2 linked regions of the Drosophila melanogaster genome follow. The protein of the gene in region 2 interacts with the protein of the main gene of each other region in a pairwise test. Each region holds a gene or a part of one and is shown on either strand. Other genes may lie near its edges. The genes, in order: CG4270 and CG12477.

Region 1 (3,245 bases), on a different chromosome or scaffold from region 2:
TTAAAGAGTAAGTGATACTAAAAGGTGTGGAATGTGAAGCTTATAACATTTGAAATCGTTGGGAATACTTAAGCTTAACGACATTGGAATACGCATGCTACCAATGAAATCTGCTGGAATACAAGAATACATTTATTGGCTGCAGTTGAGATTGTTTGGCTTCAAATTCAGAATGAACTTTTTAAATTGTGCATTCATTTTTTGTGCGGTACTTACCCTATGCCAAAACATGACCAATTCGAATCAATGGGAATCGGAATTAAAGGCAGTATCCGTATGTGCAACCGAGTGCATCCGGCTCCGGATGCCGTGTGGTTGATGGAAATGCGAGCCTGTTTGCCCAGATACCAGATACGATATATCAGATACCATCTATGTATATAATGCCCGCATGCTCGAAATAAGAGTGCGAGTGTATTTATTTTGCGTATGGCGCGCACTGTACCCTCCACTCGACCAGCAATGCATAAATAAACGAAACCAAATTTGCGAAATTAATTAAATCGACAGAAAAGTAACGTGTGCGCTTTGCGTTTTACGCTTTGACTGTGGCCAGCTTACAACCCAAACAATTTGGCCACCCAGCCACTGAACCACCCAATCCCCCAGCCACCCAACCACCCAACCACACATTTTCCAACTCCGATGGCACCGAAATTGTGAATTGTGCATTGTGCGGATGACGCGACTGTGCATCGCGTTTCTGACAGAGGCCATGGAAACCTGAAATGCAGCGAGCAGGCTTAAAGTTTATTACAATATTACCAGAAATTCTACCAGCGGCTTAAATGGAGCCATTTATCCATTTCGAAAATATCTTTGTCTATAGAGCAAATGAAAATAAGAAATGGAAAAGGGAGCTCCCGATTAATTGAATTGAAATTCATCCTAATCTTTGATATTGATTGAATTATATATTACCAATTAACCAAATTGGCTTTAATCTGTATTAACATTAATACTTATTTAAATTCGCGGCTTAATAAACTATTTTATCCAGCTTTAAGCTTATGGCCGAGTACTTAAGTACTTAGTACACAAATTCACATAAATCAATGAGCTGGGCCATAATTTAGTGCCTGGCACATGAGTATATCAAACGCAATGCTGTGACCCCGCATCCACCTTGCGGCGCACAGGATAATTTCAGCGAGTCAGCCTGTCCTGCGGCTGTATCCGCCTATCTGTACATCGGAGCATCGGCTTAATCTCTGCCGGGAGCAGCGACATCGGCCGGTCCATTGATTTGCATTTGCACAACTCATTAGGGATTCACACTTGAAGCACCACCCGCAGCGCAGACACACACTCACACACTTAAATAATTTAATATTCCGAGTGTTTCGACATCGAAATTTGCACTTCCATGGGCGGCGCTGCGGGCGATTGATAAGGGGCCTCCATGTCGGCCAACTCGCATTATCCAGCTCGATTCAGTCGGCAATTAATGCCACTCCAATTGCCCGATTTGCCTGCACCTACATATCCAGCCATATGGCTGGATTGCGAAAGAATCGCCGGCTCATTAATAACCAAACCCAGTGACATGCATCACTCATACGTCACGTTGGTTAATCCCATCGGCAGATGCAGAAGAAGGATGTGTGATACAGTCTGTCTAATTCCCGTCAATGGATTTGGGCACGCACACGTCCTGTGAATCCGTCACCCACAGCCTGTGTTTGCGGTATCAATCACAATGCTAATACCGATGTTTAGGCCAGATTATGAGGCGGTTTGAAAAAAGGGTTTTTCGGCTGTAAACAAAACATTGTGATTGATGGGTGAGCTATTCAGAACTCAGTGAAAATTTTAATTGACTGCCTTGTATACATGTATAATAACCACTTAATTTTGTAACTTAAAAACGAGAAATGTTGATCTAGCCAGCTAGCTTAAAAAGTCATTAGGCATACGTAAATTTGGTTAACTAAATCACGGCGCCAGCCAATCCCCCAAAGAAATATGGCGAAGAGAAACGTAGCGCCCATTCCCAAAACCCACGAGCGCCCTCCAGGTCCCAGGGGTCAGGATACCAAGGGCAACAACGAGCTCTTCCTGAAGGAGGTCTTCAATACCACCAATAAATATCGGGCAATGCACGGCTGTCCCGCGGTGACCATTAATGCTGCACTAAATAAGCTGGCTCAGGAATGGGCCAATGTAGGATGAGGGATAAAGAGTATTCTATAGTATTTTATATTAATTTGCACCCATTTCCAGCATCTCCGCGATCAGAACACAATGGCGCACAGACCCAATCCCAAGTACGGCGAAAACATTTTCCTCTCCGGTGGAATGGATGTGACCGGTGATCTGCCGGTGGAAATGTGGTATCGGGAAATCAATAGCTACGATTTCAACAAGGCGCAGTTTGTGCCCACCGCTGGACACTTTACTCAGCTCATTTGGAAGTCGTCGGTGGAAATGGGTTCGGGTGTGGCCCGAAAGTGAGTCTTATGGCTATGGCTATGGTAATCCTATTCATACATGTCTTCCAATAGAGCGGATAGAACTTGGGTGGTTTGCAACTACAATCCTCCCGGCAATGTTGTGGGTTTGTTCAAGGATAATGTGCCGCCAAAGCAATAACTCTGGGATTTTTTGATCAAAATTTTAAGCATAATAAAAGCGTAATCTAGGTCCAGTATTTGTTTGTTTTATTTACCATTTTCTATTTTAAATTGTGATGTTTCGATTTTCTAGTTTCCTTGGCATCCAAGTCCGATTTAAGTAGAAGGAATTTTCTAGGCAGGACATTTTCCCTGAAATGTTCGCTTACATTTCCAGGCGGATGGTAATTGCACACAATCCAAATGGAGGAAACACTGCGTGTAAAATGTAGTTAGTTTCGGATTATTTTTAGTATGACTTAAAATTATGAACCCACTCGCATGCCACGCCCACTCCCAGGAACTCTGACTCTCTCCAAACCAACTGGGTAAAATGTCCAGTGTACAAATTAAAGCCTGGCTTTAAGTAATCGTAGTTGTATTTTTCTTGGTACCAGAGTTTCAGTATTTGATCCACGGAGAATTTGGATCTCCGGACACGCATAATATTCTCGCCGTAAAGAGGATTAGGTCGAGTTTCCAGTTTGTTCAGATCAGCCAAATGCTGTGGAAATCAAGTTTAGGTGAAAAAGAAAGGATCTATTTATATTAAATACATCTACATACATCTGCCCACTCCTGTGCATAGGAACAAAGTTTTTCATCCATTTTCAGGGGATTGGCGTTGTGAAG
Region 2 (3,746 bases):
TCAAGTCTTCCTGCATGAATGCTAAACGCCAGCTAGTGATTCATTCAGGACCCAGTCAGTCATCCAGTTAGACGGACGAGGCATTTAAAGCGACATTCAAGGTGGCACTTGGTGGGGGAAAGCCGAGTGCATGGGGGCTGGCTTGCTTTATCTACGGACTCACTTTCCAATTATCATATTAAATCAGATGTAAGTCATTGCATGTGTATATATTTGCACAACTTATGCGGCAGAAGGACGTCAGCAGCAGCTCGGATAATCCTTTCAGCCAAAAAGGATACTCACGGGCAAAAACAAAAATAAATACATATAAAGCAACTGAAACACATCAGCGACGAGCCAAGCGGAAAACTGGTACGAGAAAAATCCAGTTGACATTTCACTGAAATGCAGTTAATGGGAATTCTCCTGGCCATCTCTGAAGATAACGATTGCTAATGGGGCTCGCCGTGTTTTCCACGTATTGCGGTTGGCTAGATAATGAGCACATGGCCAAGTGGAAAAGTGAGCAATGTTCGTTTCAGGTGTGGAAAGTGTTCGAAGTGCGGGGTGACCACGATAAAGATAAAGAAACAAAGTTTTCATTTTAGTCCCCTTTATTTAATTGTATAAAAATACATTTCATAGAGATTCATTTTGAAAAGGAAAATTCTCCAAAAGGGATAAGTTACTGCTAGGTTAATACATTGATTTTTTGATATTAAATGCCTGCAGGCTTGCAGGTTATCAGTTGTAAATTCCAGACCAGCACCTATTTTCAAAATGTAATTTTCACTGCTTAGCGCATTTAAAGCTATTGATACTCATATTCAGTTCAGTTCAGTTTAAGGATAAGCCACTTGTGAATGAAATTTAATGCAAGTCAAAATTTAATGCATGCAAAAAGTGTCCCAAATTTCTTGGAATTAAGTGGTGAATGATTGTTCTGTAAGCAAAATTTGGCAGCTACATACAATACATCGCTTCATTTCGTGGATTATTAACTTGGTTTTTTTCTCATCTCCTCCCGTTTCGTCAGACTAGTTTACGTCCGAGAAATCGTAGTCGTCGGAATTGCTGAAATCATCAAAAAACATATTCGGGAAAGGAACCAAAATAAGACAATTGCCAAGTCCCGAAAAATCTGATGGAATCGGTAGCCCTAGAGCATGGGTCGGCAATCCCACATCGACGTAATCTGCGTTGGGTATAGAGTGCTTGTAAAAACACTTGTTGCCAAAGAGGCACACGCCTTGTCCTTGTTTAAAGTACTTGCAGTCCCTTGCACGCATAGCGGCGAGGTGATCATTGATGAGCTGGTCCTTCGCCACCTTTTCCTCCACCCAAAATGCACTGGGACATACAAAGTTAGACCACACGCGACATTCGGGGCAAGCTCGCGTCACTTGATAGGCATACTGTGTGGCATGACGCCATGTGCAAATGCACTGGAAGCAGAACACGTGGTTGCAGCTGGGCAGGATGCCGAAACGCTTATCTCCTCCCTCCTTCTCCATGATCGTCTCGAAGCAAATGCCGCACTTCTTGTCCTGGGACCTGGCGAAGGAGCTCCGCCATGACGGCTGCACGTGGCTGCTCACAGATGATGACCCTTTCACTATGTCGGCAGAGGTGGCAACACCTGACGGACGAACAGCGACTGTAGTGCAGGTAGCTCCAGCCTGTGCCTCGCCCTGCTCGCCGGCAGTAGCAGCCTTGTAGTTGGGCACGATTGCTTCATTGCCCTTCTGCTCGATCTGGGAGCTAGGGCTGTTCGTGCTGGGCACCGGCAATACGCCGGTGTCCACGTGCTGATCGTTGCTTGCGACTGTACTCATTTTTTGCTGCGATGATTGCAAGATGTTTTTTACTGAATCACTGAAAGGTGCGGACAATTACCTGCTCTATTGGATTGGTTTTTTTTTTTTTAAGTCGAACAATCTTTAATGCCGAGTACAATCAGAAAATTCAACTTTGTTCTTTCACACACATGGTATGACTGGCGATTTTTTCTTTCTATAGTGTGACCAGAGTATGTTGTATCCTTAGCCTATTTTCCTAATTGTTTGGCACCAAGCTACTTAGCTACTTACTTGTTTCGCTGGCATGATTTCAGCTTAAAAGCTGAATCTAATCTGGTAACTCTATAATCTACATTGTAAGTGGCAACACCAAGCTCCACGCATCTTTTAATGTTCGAATTATTTTTTAGCGGAGATTAAACAATTTTTCATAGCGTGCTTTTCATATATTGAGCTCTTTAAGATCTGAAAGATAATTACGCATTCAGATTCTGGGAACCCCTATGGATAATCTTTAAAGCAGTCGCTTTACTGCTTGCTAAGACATTCGTGTTCTGCTTGCTACAGCATTTGCTTCGATTAAGCAGAATTATGTACTTTGTATGTATTAGTAGCGTCTTTTGTTTATCACAAAAGTTGTTCAAAATTTCAATAATAGTATATATGTAAGAGTGCAATTAAATGTATCGTAGATTTCCACCGATGTTCTGTTAGTAGTCAGTTAACAAGTGAAATCGCACAAAGCATGCTCTGCATATAATCAGCTTAAAATATCAGCGAACAAACAATTTCAATCAAATTGAAATCAAACGCTGCAGGAGGACGCCTCTGTGCCAATCCTCGCATCCTTCCGAATCGCCCCCCGTCATTACCCGCAGTTATGTTCCAGATTTACCTTGCTACGTGCAGCACCAAGTTGATTGCTCATATGTGTGCGAGGCAAAGGCGATGGAGGTGAAAGTATAATAAAGGCACAGTTACGTATACATATTCTCGCTGTGGGCAGATGGAGTCGAGAGTCACTCGCTGACTCATTCAGTCATTCACTCAGTCAGCCAGTTTGCTGCGTTGGCCCGAGCCGAGTCAAGCAGTCGAGCGCGAAATAAGCTTTGTCTGATGGACTGAGGTAAATGAACAGTGGAGCAGATCCACCAGGTGGAGATGATGCCACATGACACGCGGAGGAGCTGCCAGCGGTTGCAACACCAGCAATAGCACGACAAATTGATGACAAAAAAAAAAAAATAAATTGAAAGCAACTGTTTTTATAAATCTTAATTGAATTTAAACCCCAATATTTTTTCATTCTGCGAACCTATTAGCAAGTGAACTAAAAACTATAACAATTATGATATGACTTGAAATAGCTAGGAGAAATTCCTTAAAGAAGATTCGTTTAAGGATCCCTTTGAATATACATATATATCCTCAATTTTCAGAGTGTATCCAGGTATTGTATCCGCTTGGTTCCGCTTCGCTCGCAGGAGCCACATTTCTCAGCACTGTCGTGTCGTGGAAATCCATTTCGGCTGTTAATGTGACATTTAGTCATTAAAATTTCAGAAGGCGCTACTCAGACAAAGCATGATATTGTTATTATTATTCGCCTGCGTTTGGCTAAAATGCCTGCATGCCAAGTTGCCACCACGCGGAGTAACAGCTGCTGTGAGACAACTGCGTACAACGCGGCGTATGCGTAATGTGCTCACTGCTGATGCTGCTTCATTCAAATTAAATTTGCCCTGGGTCACGCGAGTGTTGTTTCGTATTGCAAATGTGAAGGAGAGTGACTGAAAGGAGGTGGATGACAAATGTGAGGGGGGTGGGGTTGGGGTAGCACTGAAGTACAGAATCAAGAGCAGAGCAAATTGGCAAATAAAATTTTTGCCAACGCCAAGGAAATATAAAAAGTTGACTTGAGTTAGAGAAGTTTTGCTGGGCGGGAGAGGAGTGTGTAAAAAAAGA

What was found.
Region 1: the proteins of CG12477 (region 2) and CG4270 interact in a two-hybrid assay, tested with the Drosophila melanogaster proteins (one large-scale study listed by BioGRID).

Annotation. Positions count from the first base shown.
Region 1 is NT_033779.5:2,261,593-2,264,837, forward strand, and holds CG4270 (uncharacterized protein), read left to right. Parts: upstream 1-1,849; 5' UTR 1,850-1,965; coding exon 1,966-2,163; intron 2,164-2,223; coding exon 2,224-2,450; coding exon of another isoform or gene 2,451-2,454; exon of another isoform or gene 2,455-2,493; intron 2,494-2,504; coding exon 2,505-2,592; 3' UTR 2,593-2,649; downstream 2,650-3,245. Other genes in the region: CG34049 (uncharacterized protein), read right to left, coding at 2,675-2,828, 2,891-3,117, 3,180-3,245.
Region 2 is NT_037436.4:18,721,311-18,725,056, forward strand, and holds CG12477 (uncharacterized protein), read right to left. Parts: upstream 1,963-3,746; 5' UTR 1,879-1,962; intron 1,824-1,878; 5' UTR 1,818-1,823; coding exon 1,020-1,817; 3' UTR 583-1,019; downstream 1-582.